2 linked regions of the Notamacropus eugenii genome follow. The protein of the gene in region 2 purifies or fractionates together with the protein of the main gene of each other region. This does not show direct contact. Links are inferred from orthologs where the notes say so. Each region holds a gene or a part of one and is shown on either strand. Other genes may lie near its edges.

Region 1 (7,733 bases), on a different chromosome or scaffold from region 2:
GTTCAGGGGGACAAGTTCTGCGGAGCAACTGGGCCCCGAGGGTTGGGGGGCAGGGGAGTAACGTGCTGGGGTGGGGATGGGGGGGCGTGCGCGGCACGTACGGGTGGGGGGTGCCGGGAACGGGCGCGTGTAAACGTGCCCAGGGAGGCGGGGAAAGGGCGAGCGTGCCCCTGACAAGGGAACCCTCAAATCCCTGCCCCTCCCCCCTACACACCTCTCAAGCACACCTCCCCCCTCTCTTGTCTGGGCCCCCAGTTCGTGGGTAGGATGCTTGGGGGAAGAAAGTATGCGACCTCCGCCCCTCGTGGGACTTCGAGTTCCCTCCCCTCCCCCTGGGATGGGACGGAGCCCAAACTGAGGGGTAGGGGGTGGTCTGGAGAAGAAAGTAGCTTGCCTCTGCCCCCGGGGAGCGGGAAAGAGGTGAGAGTAGGGGGCCGAGGCTTGGGGAAGGGGGAAAGACCGGCTTCCTAACTAATTTGCCCTCCACCAAACACAGGGAACTCCCCCAGCCCACCCAGTACCATGGCCTCTGGAGTGGAAGTCTTGCGATTCCAGCTCCCAGGACATGAGGCTGCTACCCTTCGAAACATGAACCAGCTTCGGGCAGAAGAGCGCTTCTGCGATGTCACCATTGTGGCCGACAGCCTCAAGTTCCGGGGCCACAAGGTTATCTTGGCAGCTTGCTCCCCATTTCTTCGTGACCAGTTTCTCCTCAATCCCAGTTCAGAGCTGCAGGTCTCGCTAATGCACAGTGCCAGAATCGTGGCAGACCTCCTCCTCTCCTGCTATACAGGTGCTCTGGAGTTTGCTGTCCGGGACATTGTCAACTACCTGACTGCTGCCTCTTATCTCCAAATGGAGCACGTGGTAGAAAAATGTAGAAATGCCCTGAGCCAATTCATTGAACCCAAGATTGGCCTAAAAGAGGATGGAGTCAGTGGAGGGATTGGATTGACTGGGCTCAGCTCCACCAAGTCACTCCTCCCACCCGCTCGAACCCCTAAACCAGCTCCCAAACCCCCACCACCACCTCCTCCACCTCCTCTTCTCCGACCAGTGAAGCTAGAATTTCCCCTCGATGAGGATCTTGAGCTAAAGGCAGAAGAAGAAGAAGAGGATGAAGATGAGGATGTATCAGATATCTGCATTGTCAAGGTGGAATCAGCATTGGAAGTGGCACAGAGGCTTAAGCCCCCTGGAGGCATTGGGGGGAGCCTTGGGCTTGGAGGGAGCCTTGGGCTTGGGGGGAACCTTAACCTTGGAGGGGGTCTTGGCCTTGGAGGGAGTAGCGGACTCCTCATCAATGAAGTTGGAGAAACTATTGATGCCCCTGATGATAGCACAGCACCCCAGGGAGTGGTGAAGGCCTGCTATAGCCTTACAGAAGATGCGGAAGGGGAGGGTCTGTTGCTGTTTCCTGGAGGTCAAGTAGGGGAGGGCATTACCCTTGGGCTGGGAGATGAAGCCCTAGCTGCAGCCACTATGTCCCGGAGCAGTGGAGTTAGTGGGAGTTATGGGGGCATGAGGAGTCCTATACCAGGGGGCTCCCCAGTGGGAAACCCACTGAAGAACATCAAGTGTACCAAGTGCCCAGAAGTATTTCAGGGTGTGGAAAAACTTGTGTTCCATATGAGAGCCCAGCACTTCATCTTTATGTGCCCTCGATGTGGGAAGCAGTTCAATCATAGCAGCAACCTCAACCGTCACATGAACGTTCACCGAGGTGTCAAGTCACACTCCTGTGGTATTTGTGGCAAATGCTTTACACAGAAGTCTACTCTACACGACCACCTCAACCTTCACTCTGGGGCTCGACCCTACCGTTGTTCTTACTGTGATGTGCGATTTGCCCATAAACCTGCCATTCGTCGACACCTCAAGGAGCAGCATGGCAAGACCACAGCAGAGAATGTCCTTGATGCCAGTGTGTCAGAGCTCAATGCCCTCCTCCACTAGCTGGAGGAAGGATAACTAGGGGAAGGGGTGAGGTGAGATTGCTGGTAGAGGGGGGTGATGAAAGATTCTCTCTCCAAAAGGGGAGGAAGTTTGAAGGGGAAGGGGGCTTTTCTGTTTCCAGGAGAGTTAACATACATCTTGGGGTTAAAGGCAGAGGTCTTAACAAAAGAACAGCTCAGGTCTTCCTCTGAGAATAAGAAGGGGTTAAAAGACCTTGCTGAGGAGATTAACTAACCATTCCTTGGGATGATGAGGAAAGAAATGGTTCCTGTTTTCTAGGATAAAAGGGCCCAGGAAGAGGGATGGCTCTTTTCTGGAATAAGTAGATAATTGAGGTGAGGATGGTGTGCAGGGTGTAAGTAGTAAAAAGGGGAAATAGAAGATGGTTTTATCATTGGGTAAGAAAGCTATAGAGAAGACAACTCAGTTGAGGTAGGGTGGGTGGGAATTGGGAGGGTATCTTACCAAAGCTATACCTGTCCTTGGGTGGTAATAGAACAGGGGAAACCTCTTAAATTCCTGGGAGAGCAACTATTATGAGGAAAAGGTTAACAAGTCCCAGGGAGAAAGGGTAGAGAATGTCTTTTTTTGCATGCGAGGGAGGAGGGAAGGGGACTGGGACGGGCTTTTGTCTCAGGAGACAAAAAGTGACAAATGGTTATAATATGAAAGAAAAAAGGAGAATGGAAGTAGACTAGAAAACAAATAGAGGCAAAATAAGAAAAGTCAGAAGTAGTAAGGGTTGGGGAGGGGATATGGGGAGAAAAGGAAAATACCTAGAAAAAGGCTCTTGGGGAGGGGAGGGAAAGGGTGTGGTAGAGACATAATGGTATTTTTTAAGGAAACAGACATATTTTTCAGGAGTTTTCTGGAATCTGAAGTCTCAGTTTCCGCTTTTCCACAAAATAAAAAAAAAATTCTTAACGTTTGTTGTCTGAGTCTGATACTTCCTTTTTCCATTCCCTAGTTTTCCATTCTGAGCATCCTGGTACCTTCAGCCAACAGCTCTTTCCTAAGAATACCCTGGCCTTCCATCTTCTGCTTCTGTTGAGTTTCCTGTGCCTGTCCAGTGTTTTTAGTCACCTCCTGGTCTCCTCACCATGTGGGCAAAAATCATGTAAACCCGTTTCAGCAGTACTTTTCAAAATTCTAAGTACTCTTCATTATGGTGAAGTCGGGCCATTGTCTTTCAGTCCCAGCTCTTGTCATTATCTAGCTATGAGAAGGGGCATCTGAGCCTATTGCTTCTACAAAGTGAGAGGATTAGACTACATCAGGGCGTTCTCAAATTGGGATGATGGTCTTGGATGGGGTAGAAATGTATTTGGGTTTTTTTCCCACTAAGCTCAAACAAACAGCATTTCCTTCAATTACGAATTTTAAAATTTTTTCTGGGAAGGGATCCATCAGCCTCACCAGTCTGCCAAAGGAGTGTCCATGACGCCCCCAAAAAGGTTAAGAACCCCCGAACTAGATGGACCCTGGGGCCCTTCTCCAATACTACTTCGAGTCTGCGAGTTGGCGGAAAACTTTAGAGGCGGCTCGCAGCTTGTGCAAACTACAGCTCCCAGGAGGCCTCAGAGGCGGCCCCGGGTGCCCAGTGCCAACCCACAGAGCCCGGGGCTGTGGAGTCCTCCGGGTTCGAGGGCTGTAGTACAGGCTGCTGAGGCGGGGCGTCCGTCTGTGCTGGGACCGCGGCGTCTGTTCTTCTGGTCGTGATGACATTAGCGAAGTTGTGATTGAATTAAGTTCTTGGAGAGATCCGTGGACGGCCGGGCGGGATTGGAGTGGTCTTTAACTAAGCCCTAATTACTCACAATAAGAGCCGGGAGTAAAAGCCCTAGGTAAAGGGGAAGAGCGTCTCGGAGTACCCCCATTCCCGCCTCCAGGAGCAAAGGCTTCTCTCCTGCTCCTGCCCGGACCGAGATCGGAGGCAGAGGCACGGTCCTTCCCCTTCCCGGGACACCCGGACCGGACGAACCGCGGCTCGGGAGTTATTGGGCAATAGACTCGCACCGCAGCGGCGGCCCCCGCCCCCAGTCCAGACACTCCGGCAGAGCGCCCGCGCTCGCCCCCCCATGGTGAAGGCTGGGGCGGCCAGATCGAAGTGGCCTCCGAAGCGCCCCCGCCAGCCCCATCCCGGGCATCCTCCGCAGCCCTCCGGGATCCTATCCCGGGAAAATGGCAATGGAATAGGCCACGGCTCCTTTAAGGGTTCTCTTCCTCCTCCCCCCTTTCACAACTCCCCCATCCCCCCCCGGCCCACGTGACCCGGGCGGCCGCGCGCCTCCTGGGCCCCCCGCGCGAGCGGCTATGGCGGCGGCGGCGGGAGCTGCAGCGGCGGCGGCCGCCGAGGTGCGGAAGGGGAGGGGGGGGAGGCGGGTGCATGCCCGCCCGCGCGCGCGCCCGGGGGAAGCGCGCACTCGTGCAATGCTCCGGGGGTGCAACGGGGCCGGGGGGCCCGAGCCGGGCTTGCAACAAGCCGGGGGGCCAGCGCCGGGGGCCGGGGAGGGGACCAGGGGATGGGAGGCGGGGGAAGCGGGCACGGAGGTGCGCGTGCAGCCGCTGGCCACCCCCGGATGGGCGGATGGAGCCGGGGTCCCAGGGGCACGCGCACGGGGTGCGCGGGGCAGGCCGCCAAGCTGGGGGGGAGTGGGTGCCGGGGGGGGTGTCGCGCGGGGCCCCCGCGGCTCCGGGGACAAAGGGGGAGCGTCTCGAGCACCCGGGAGGAGGGGGCGGGGCCGGGGCGCATTGGCCACGCCCCCTCCCCTCCTTTCTGCTCCCGGGATGCGGGGGCTACCAAGGGGGAGGGGGTCCCTTCGGACCCGGGGGAGAGGGCGAGGGCCACTTCCTGGGAGTCGCGGCAGAGGGCGAGGGGCAACCCATCGGGGCCGGGGACGGGGGCGAAGCCTGCTCTCTTCCGCCCGGACCCAGGCGTCCTGGGTTCCTCTGCCCCCAGCCGGGTTGACCAGTCCCCCTACCCCTTGTCTCCCCTCGCAGGGGGAGGCCCCTGGTGAGATGGGGGGGGCGCTGCTGCTGGAGAAAGAACCTCGGGGAACTGCAGAGAGAGGTAAGCATACAGTGTATACAGGATGTCTGCTCCCCAGCCCCCTCTTCTTCCCTGTTGTGAAAGCAGTCTGCTTCCCAATACCCTCTTCTTTTTCCTATCTGGAACAACCTGGCAGGATGGTAAGTTGCCCTTTCCCCTTAGATCTCTTCCTGAAAGGAATCATGTTCCCCAACTGTGTGTGTATATGTCTGTGTGTCTTGTGGGGATCTTGGTATTCATGACACCCCTCACTCCCCAACCTTTCTTTTTTCTTCTCAGGTCTTAGCTCCTCCTCAGGAGATAAGTCTCCTGGAGAGGAGACCCCACCCCAGGACCATCCCGAGTCTGTGGAACCCACTGGCCCCTCATCTCCTGCCTCAGTCACAGTGACTGTAGGAGATGAGGGTGCTGACACCCCAGTGGGGTCCACACCCCTCATTGGTGAAGAGCCAGAGAGTTCAGAGGGAGATGAGGGCATCCACAGTGGTAGGATGTTGTTAGGTAAGGATTTGGGAGAGCTTGAGGTTGGGGAATTCAGGGAGCAGGGAGAACTGGGCTCTCAGGTCATACCGTTTTCCCTCCTCTCTCTCCCAACCATGTTGTCCAGGCCATGCCACTAAGTCCTTTCCCTCGTCCCCCAGCAAAGGGGGCAGCACCTGCCCAAGCCGGGCGAAGATTACCATGACAGGGACCGGGAAATCACCTCCCTCAGTCCAGAGTTTAGCCATGCGGCTGTTGAGCATGCCTGGGGCACAAGGGGCTGGGGCTGGGCCTGAGCCTGCCCCTACCCCGACCCCTACCCCCACCCCCACCAGCCCTGAAGGGAAGCCCAAGGTCCACCGAGCTCGAAAAACCATGTCCAAACCAGGGAATGGACAGGTAAAGGGCATGTGCAGGGAAGGGAAGAGGTATATCTTGTAATAAGGAGCGGGAGTTGGGGGGAAGAGGGGAGTCTTATCTTCCTTTCTGTGTATTCCCTAGCCTCCAGTCCCTGAGAAACGCCCCCCTGAAGTTCAGCATTTTCGAATGAGTGATGATCTTCACTCAATGGGGGATATGGGAACAGGTATATCCTTCAACCATAGATAGATTCTAGCTTCTTTCTCGCCTATACCATTGGGACAACAGTTAACTTTGGTTTGGGGTATCAAAAATCTTGCTTAGGTTTGAAGAGAAAAACCTTACTTTATCTCTTCCAGACACTGCCAAAAGGAGGAAGCTGGACTTGGGAAGTGCAGGGTCCCACAAGAGAGGCTTGGTAAGGCTGCATCAGGGACTGGACCAAGGGGCAATAAGGGAGCTAAGAACAGAGTGCCAGCATCTTTGAGAGGAAAACAAGTACTAAAATGGAGTGGAAAGAGGAGAGAGGTGTGGAAATAGAATATTTTAGTTCCTTAGAGAAGAGATTTGCTAACAGGACAACTCAGCTGGAGTAAGGCTGGGGAGGGGAGAGGTACTGACTCTTGGGTGGTACAAGTCTCTAGTATTTAAAACACTAAGGTGCCTTTTTAAGTGCAAGGTACACAGGGTGATACAAAGAAGAAAGATAGTTTCTGCCATTTAGGAGATTTAACCATGTCTATCAATCAATCAACGTTTATTAAGCTCCTACTATATGTCAGGCCCTGTACTAAAAGCTGGGGATACAAAAAGAGGCAAAAGAAAGTCCTTGCCCTCAAGGATTTTATGGTCAGTGAGGGAGACAACATGTATACAAATATGAGTTATATACAGGAGAAATAGGAAATAATTAACTGGGGGAGGGCACTGGAATTAAGAGGGTTGGTTAAGACTTCTAGTAAAAGAGGGAATTTTAATTGGAACTTAAAGGAAACCAAAGGGGAGGTCTTTAGAGCGAATGATTGGCCTGGGGGACAGCCAGAGAAAATGCCCAGAGCCCACAGAAGGAGTGTCTTGTTTGTAGAACAACCAGGAGGCCAGTGTCACCGGATCAAAGAATATGTGTTTCAGATTAGGGTGTAAGAAGACTTACAAGAGCTTTGAATGCTAAACAGAACATTTTGTATTTGAACTTGGAGGCAGTAGGAAACCACTGGAGATTGTCAAGTTGGGGGGGGGGGGGTGACATTATCAGACCTGCGCTTTAGAAAAATCACATTAGTGGCTCAATAGAGGATGGATTGGAGGGGGGAGAAAGGCTTGAGGCAGGCTGACCCAGCAGTACGCTCTTGTAATTGTGTAGGCATGAGGTAATGAGGTCCTATATTATCATAGTAATAACTGTCAGAGAAGGGGCATATACAAGAGTTGTTGCAAAGGTGAAATTGACAAGGCTTGGCAACAGATTGGATACGGTAGAATGAGACATAGTAAGCAGTCCAGCTGACTCCTAGGTTGTGAGCCTGAGGGACTGGGAGGATGGTGTTGCCTTCTATAATAATAAGAAAGGGGAAAAGGGGGAAAGGTGGTTTGGGAGAAACGTAATGAGTTCCATTTTGAACATACTGATTTTAAGGTGTCTACTTGACATCCAGTTTGAAATGTCTGAAAGACAGTTGGAGATATGAGATTGGGCATCAGCAGAGAGATTGGGGCAGGAGAGGTAGATTTCAGAATGACATTGTTATAGAGATGGTAATTAAATTCATGGGAGTTAATTAGATCACCAGGTAAAGTAGTATATAGAAAGAAGAGGGGCCGGGGACAGAATCTTGAGGGAAACCCTAGAGTATGACATGGAAGTGGATCCAGATAGGTAGGATGAGAG
Region 2 (7,699 bases):
CACAAATAGCCCCCCAACCTCTCAGGCAAAGAATGTGCTGACCTGGCCAACATCATACTAGTTGAGATCTGGAGGAAGATTTGGGAAAGGGACAGGAACGGGGTGTGGCAGAGTGGAAAAACTGGGTCATAGAACAGCTTGGGGCAGAGTTCATCTTGGGAGTCTATACAGCTTCCAGCTAGGACAGGAACAACCCCAGCCCTGGGGGCCAACAGAGGGGGAAAAGAGAATAATTGCCTATGGTTCACCTATCCTCTGGGCCAAGACCACAGGGCAACTCTACCGTTTGTCAAGAAAAGGATAGGACCACCCTGCCTCCTTGGACAACACAACAACTATATGGTACCCTAGCCTACATGAACCAAAAGAGTTCAAAATTTGGCCCTCCACTATACCAGACTAAAGCAAAGGACAGGGGAAGATAGGGATTAACATCTACCCAAACAACTATGAAGGGTATAGCAGAGGCTCCACTACACACATCCGTGACCCCAACTTAGCCCCAAATCTAGAAGCATTTCTAAGGCAGCCCAGTTCTTGTCAAAAGTAAAGAAAATTAAAAATAAAAAAGATAGTCACTGGGGAACCTAAGCAAGATCAGTAGCCTTTGGAATGCAAGAATGGCTGGCTCAGATAACAAAAGCAGTAGTTAACATTTATATACCACTTTTAAGGTTTACAAAGTACTTTCCATACATTTTCTCATTTGAACTTCACAATAACTTTGTGAAGTAGGTTCTACACATCTATTTTCTCCATTTAACTGAAGACCAAACTGAGGCTCAGAGAGGTTTCTTGGCTGGCTAACGGCCACACAGCTAACAACAGAATGTGATTCCAGGGCTCACTACACTGTCTCTCTGATACTTCAAGATCCAATAGAAGAAGAAAGTTCTCATGAATAGACAATAGGGAGGATAAGAAAATCTGAGATGGGGAATAAAGAAAACAAGTAGGAGAACAAAAAGGCCAGTTTAGGGGCAGGAGAGAAGACAAGACAAGCATACAGCATCTCTCCATCTGAGCAGTGAACTAAAGCTCTGCTCCTCAGGACTGGTCAGTACCATCTCCGAAAAGCACAGGATAAATCAGACTACTTCAATTTGCCTGGTGCAAAGTCCCACCCCAAACACATATAACACACCTCTATACTTTCCTCTCCCCCTTCACCAAGATAAACATACTTTCCCAGACACAAAGTCTTCTGTTAAACATTCCTTCCCTAAAAAGAATGATGGAAAGTCTTTAAAAAAAATTCCTTCCTACTCAAATGTACTGGGGGAGCTCCTCTGCTCCCCAAACCCTCAAACCTTGTCTTCTAGATCATTAACATATTCCCTCAGCTTTCATTCCCCAACCAAAACACTCCAGCAATTTGCCTGGCTGCAAGTGCTCCATATCCCGGCTGTGAGCGAGATTCAAACTTTGCACAGTTCAGTCAGCAGAGAGAACAGAAAACCGGTAACTGATCACTGGCTAAAAATAAACTGAATAAGAGAACCCAGCAATCCCTGTTTATACTTTCCAAGGCATCACTGACCCCTACCCCCAAGACCCCACTAGATTTCAGGGAAGCTTGGCCACTCTGCCCCAAAACCCTAAGGCCAAGTCACAAAGCACTGGCTGACCATAACCTAAGCTTACTGCCACCCTATTCATTCTAAGCTTCACATAGAGCAAAATCTTCATCTCACCGTGAGCTCAGACCCTACAAATGGGCACAGATGGGCACTAAATGTCATCTCCAAGACACCTCAATCCATGATGCCCAAGGCAGAAACACATGGCTGCCATCACCCTTTTTACAGGGGAGCTCAGAAGAATTGAACCACTCCCTCTAGATACCCTCCCACCTCAGATCCTGCAAAGAGAGGCATTACCCAACCCTGCCCCAACAGTCACTAGGGGAAGGCCCCAAAGCCTCCTCTTTCCCAGCCTGTGGCCCCTTCTGAGCACTTACCTGGGTGGGGTGGGGGAAGGCTGTTTAGAAGCACCTCCATGTCCTCTTCCTCACTGCCTGCTGAGCAGGGGGATGGGGAGCCCAGGCCTGAAGCCATCCCCTTCCACTCCTGGCCAGGGAATTGGCCCAGCTGCTCCTGCCTCCGGCCTGGGGCCCTCTGTGCTGGCCCGAGTCACTGTGCAGAGGAGGGGGGAGGGGGGAAGAGACAGAGAAAGAGAGAGAACAGTCAGTGACGTGCACTGTCCCTGTCCCCCTCCCCCACCCCACCCCCACCTATTCTTTCCACCCACCACCCCACCAACCCCCCCTTGCCACTTGGGCCAGACGGCAAAACCCACTTGAACTGAACTTCGTTCTTCAGCGTTTCGGGGGAAGGGTCCGGGATGGGCCTCGCTCCCCGTGAGGAAGGCTAAGGCCAGAGGTGGGGCAGGGGCAGGAAGGAAGGGGCCCTTCCCTCCTCCAGGGCCAAGCGGGCATTGTGGGAGGACAGCTGAGGGCCGTAAGGAGAAGGGGCCAGAGCCCGGCGGGCTACGAGAGGGGCGATTCTCGGAGGCGGAAGGTCAGTGGGGGGCGGGAAGGGCCAGCTCCCGGACGCCGGGAGGGGTCAGTGCCCACTGAGGGCAGCTGATCCCGGGAGCGCTTCAGGTTTTCCAGGGAGCCAAGGGAAGGGGGCGGGTGGAGTCTCCAGACTTGAGCCCGGTCTGGAGCGGGGGAGAGAAGGGGGGGAAAGGGTCTGCAGGCTAACCTGGGGAGGGGGGCCAGGCCACGTGTCCCGGGGAACAAGCCCGCAAAGGGCAGCAGGGGGGGGGGGCAGGCGCCTAACACATTAGGAAGCCGCCCCCTCCCCGCTGTCCTGGGGGGCCGAAAGGGCCCACGGAGCCCGAGGAGGCGCCTCCAAGCCTTGGGTGGGGGAGGGCTCTGCTCTCCTCGGGCCCTTGGGGGCTCGGAGGGGGGGGCCGCCAGCCAGGTGTGAACGAGCTTTCTGCGGGACAGGGGAAGGACCCCCGGGGGAGTTTCTCTGGAAGGGGGTCTTTCCTTGGGGACCCCGCCCCCTCCTCACCCCGGAGCCGCGGGGTCCAGCTCTTGTAGCTCTCGCTCCCACTCCAGCTCCTCCTCGCCGCGGCCGAAGGGGGGAAAATGGCTCCGGCTCCGGCTTCGCCTCTTAAAGGGCCCGAAACACCGGCCGGGAAATCCCACAGCCCAAGCCCCGCCCCCCCCCCGCGGACAGCCCATAATAACCCCAACCAACTCCAACCCTCCCCAGTCCCCTTCCCCCCACCCTCCACCTTCCTCCCTGGATCTCCCCGGCAACGCCCGCCCCCTCGTCGCCCCAGCAACCATTGGCCCCGCCCCTTCATCGCTCGCGCGCGCGTGTCACCGGAGCAACCGCCCACCTCCCGGACATCCCATAATACTCGTGGACTCCCCCACTTCCATATACATATATGCCAGAGTTAGGGGCATCCCATAATACTCAGTTCCTTTGCAACTCAACCCTTTCTCCCCAAACATCCCATAATAACCATTCTCCTGCCAACTTCCCCACTCTAACCCCCCAGGATTGACATCCCATAATGATCCCTCTCACCCCTCCCTCTCCATGGCCATCCCATAATAACCACCCCTCCCAGCACTTCAGCCTTACATCCCATAATACTCACCCCCATCCCCCAACAGACATCCCATAATAACCACCCTCCATCCACCCCCAGTTTGACATCCCATAATATCCACCCTCGCCCTCTGCAACAACGGCCATTCAGGGCCCCTTCCCACACAACATCCCATAATAACCAGTCTCCCCCTTTCTATATAGACATCCCATAATAACCAACCCCATGGTAGCTCCCCCCAGCCCCTCCAGGCTAGTGTCCTCTGATAGTCTCACCACCATCATCCTCATCCTTTACACACTCACTCTGTAGTCTGGCAGCCCATAATAATCACCCCTCCCCTATATGCAGATGTCCCATAATGATCAGCACCCTCACTGTCACCCCACAGATGGACATCTAATCACCTCTTCCCTCAAGACATCCCATAATAATACAACTCTCCCACTCCAACCCAGATATCCCATAATAAACACCAGGGGCAGCTGGGCAGCCAGACATCCCATAATACTCCCAGAAACAACCTAGTGTCACATCCCATAATATCTCATTCTCCCCCCCATACTCTTCCAGCCAGGCAGCCCATAATACTCACATTCATACCTCCCCCATCTCCAGACACACAGTCCATACTAATCATCAGGAACAGGGAGGGCGAGGCAAGGCTACCCACACTGTCCAGTCTGCCCACACACACACATACACACACACCTCGCCCCATCCTGAGCCAGAACTGTATCCTGGAGTGATAGTCTCTGATGTCCCAGGTCCTGGCCTCCTGACTCTCCTATGGAGACCACCTGGAGCCCCACCCAGACGTATTGGAAACTGGAGATGCCAAACGCTTGGCTTCCACTCCCACCCCTGGTGAGCCGTCCAGGTGGATGGACCGTTTTCATGGAGCTTCCTCTTTCTCAGACTTCCCCATGATATTCACAGGGATCAGTGCAAAAGCTATCATATGGAGCTCCACTTAGTTCTCTTTCCCATCCTCAAGCCCTGGGTACTTGTTCATCAACATGCTCCAGCAACTCCTATGTTATGTGGCCTGACCCCCCCACCTGCCCAGGAGCAGGTACTTAACTGCTCACCCACATCCCATAGTGCACTTATTCATTCATCCGATATTTATTGAGTGCTTGCTGTGACATTGTGCTAGGCCCTGGAAGGATCACCAAAATGCCTTGCTTGTCCTCAAAAAGTTGAAAATCTAGTAGAGGTTAAGAAAGGGACATAAATAGCTATAATATATGTGACAAAATTGATACCAGAGAGGTACAAAACACTGTAGGAGTTCAAAGAGAGATAACTTCACTACTCAGCTGAGATTTCTAATATCACATAAACCAATCTCAACTATTCTGGACAATGTCCTGATCTCCAGTAACAAGTCCCTGATGGCTGTCACCCAAGGGAGGTGCCAGAGTGGCCTCATCTACAGTTGGGTTAAGGTAGCCTGTCAGCGATATTAAGAAACATCTCATACTATAGAAATATTCATCTCCCCTGAATCCTAAAATATTAACATTTTCCTCAGGACACTCACCAAAATCCCATAACATGCTATATCGTCCCATTACACATTACATCTTTAATGCTTTTTCAATGACTTTCCCTTTATGATATCCCATAGTGCTCCATTATTCCCATTCAACTAGTCCATCCTCCAACCCTATCTATCTGTCCCTGACTTCCCAGGATATTCTGTTACTCTCCATCCTTTTCTTCACATGCACCAACCACCACCAACATCCATCAAACTTTCTCACCCTAGAGCTATTGTAACAAGTGACACTTCTACCTACTATACAAAGTGGCCATCTTTGTCATCAGATAGTCCCCACCCTCTGTCCTGGAAACTGTGCCTAGAAGATCTTCCCCACCTCTACCCCTAGTTCCCTTTGCTTTTTAGAGGTCCAGCACTCCCATGGGCCTCTCTTCCATACTTCATCAAACCTTTTCCTTTCTGTCTGAAAAACCTCCCCCTGCCTCCCCCCCAACAGGCCCTAAATAAACAGGGTCTGGATTTCTTGTCTTCAATGAGCTTTCAGTAGCTTTGCACCCTAAACAAACACTTTTTTCTCAGCCTCTATATTGATTTCAGAAAGTCTGCCCTCTGGAATTTAAACTCTGTGGAAGATATTAATGGTTAGAAGCAGGGCTTACTTCACCAAAATGCATTCTCATAATGGGCTGTTAATTCATATAGCCTTTCCTTTAATTGCAAGCTCGTTTTCCTACACACAGGTATTCTTATCCAATCTGACAACTGATGGAAAACTAGCAACACTATTTTCCATTCCCACAACTTTCATTTATATCTCTTCTAAGCCCCTCAAACCACAAGGTCTCATTTTCTCTCTCTCTCTCTCTCTCTCTCTCTCTCTCTCTCTCTCTCTCTCTCTCTCTCTCTCTCTCTCTGCCAATTTCTTCTTCACAAAGACAGAGCAGTCACAGAATCTCATAGTTAAAAGGAACCTCCCCAGATCTTTAATCCAATCAGCACTTGAACACAAACCCCTTCTGCACCAGACCTGGCAGGTCAGGGTTCTGCCTTTACATGTGAGGGGAAACCCACTACGGGTCAAGACAGACCATTCCATTTTTAGGTAGCTCTAATTTTTAGGAAGCCTTTCTCTTACAGAAAGCCTAAATCTGTCTCTCCAACGTACACCCATTGCTCCTACTTCTATCGTCTGGGACCAAGCAGAAGAATTTTAATTCTTCTTTCACATGACACCCCAAAAGAGTTATTATATCTCACCCTGCCTAACCAAATTTTCTCTTCTCCAGGCTAAATACTGGTAGTTCCTTAAGCCAATTTTCTTATGGCATAGTCTCTAGTCTTCTCAACATCAAAATCACCCTGCTTCGAGATGCTCTCGTTTGTCTAGATCCATTTGAAAATGTGATGCACAATAGTCCAGATGTCATCTAACTAGGAGAGTACCAACTACTTCCTTTTTTCTGAACACTATGCCTCCTTAATGCAGCAAGGATAGCATTAGCTTTTATGGTTGTCTGTCACACTTAGAACCCATGTTGAGCCTGCAGTCCTTTAAGACTTCTAGCTTTTTTTCAAATGAACTTCTGACTAGTCAAGTATCTTTTGTCTTGTACTTGTGAGCTCCTTTTTAAAAAACTCAAGTGTAAGATTTTAGATTTATTCCTATTAATTGAAGGGTTGAATAAACTGTGGAACATTAATGTAATGGAATACTACAGTGCAATTAAAACTGACAAGTGTGAAGTATACAAAGAAATCTGGAAAGATCTTTATAAAATAATACAAAGTGACAAAAAGCAGAACCGGAAGAATAGAGAACACACATAATGACCAGATGATATAAGAGGAAAAGTGAAAGAGAGTAAATGGACTATGGGAGTAACCAAAAAGTTATAATGATATTTCATACACTGAAATCAACTTATTTAAATATTAGTCCAAAGGCATATTTAAATAGTCGTATTGATGCATGATATTGTTTATAATAAATTCTGTTTTAAAATGTATCATATTCAATTGTGTCTTATTAATATTCAGCGTAATATTCTTGTCTATTGAGATATTTTGGGATCCCAATTGTCATATAATGTGTTAACTACTCCTTCCAGCTTTGTATCACATATAAATTTGATGAACATGCCCTCTGTGCCTTTTTTCAAGTGACCGATAAAAATATTAAATAGCACAGAGCCAAAGACAGGTGTCTGGGATGTTCCACTAGAGATCTGTTTTCAAGTCATTAAATCATTGGGTTCATTGCAACTTTTCACTGTTTGGTCCTAGTCATTCTACCAGCGCTGAATCCACCTTACCAAACTCATTTAACCCATATCTTGTTCAGCTTGTCCACTAAGGTAACATGAGAGATTGTCAAATACCTTCACCAAAAACCATTCTTTCCATTATGCTGGATCCCTAAGTAACCCTGTTTCTCTCAGCACTTCAATTTCTCCCTCCCCCAATATCACCACAGCCATCCCATTCCCTCCCATATATCTAAGATACAGGATTGTTCTTTCAGTGTTTAATTCAATTAAAAAGACATTTATTAAGCACCTGGTGTTTAAGGTATTTTAAGGTACTATGCTCATTGCTTGGGATATAAAGAAAAAAATTGTC

What was found.
Region 1: the proteins of CHD4 (region 2) and EHMT2 purify together in Homo sapiens (affinity purification with western blotting; 3 studies listed by BioGRID and IntAct, with this or other methods). This does not show direct contact. The link is inferred for Notamacropus eugenii from reciprocal best matches to the Homo sapiens genes CHD4 and EHMT2.

Annotation. Positions count from the first base shown.
Region 1 is NC_092873.1:85,598,137-85,605,869, reverse strand, and holds the start of EHMT2 (histone-lysine N-methyltransferase EHMT2), read left to right. Parts: upstream 1-4,727; 5' UTR 4,728-4,743; coding exon 4,744-5,026; intron 5,027-5,284; coding exon 5,285-5,506; intron 5,507-5,612; coding exon 5,613-5,884; intron 5,885-5,986; coding exon 5,987-6,071; intron 6,072-6,204; coding exon 6,205-6,263; intron 6,264-7,733. Other genes in the region: ZBTB12 (zinc finger and BTB domain-containing protein 12), read left to right, coding at 523-1,956. UniProt on the Homo sapiens protein: Histone methyltransferase that specifically mono- and dimethylates 'Lys-9' of histone H3 (H3K9me1 and H3K9me2, respectively) in euchromatin.
Region 2 is NC_092874.1:194,885,388-194,893,086, forward strand, and holds the start of CHD4 (chromodomain-helicase-DNA-binding protein 4), read right to left. Parts: upstream 3,017-7,699; 5' UTR 2,299-3,016; intron 2,136-2,298; 5' UTR 2,058-2,135; coding exon 1,961-2,057; intron 1-1,960. UniProt on the Homo sapiens protein: ATP-dependent chromatin-remodeling factor that binds and distorts nucleosomal DNA. Acts as a component of the histone deacetylase NuRD complex which participates in the remodeling of chromatin.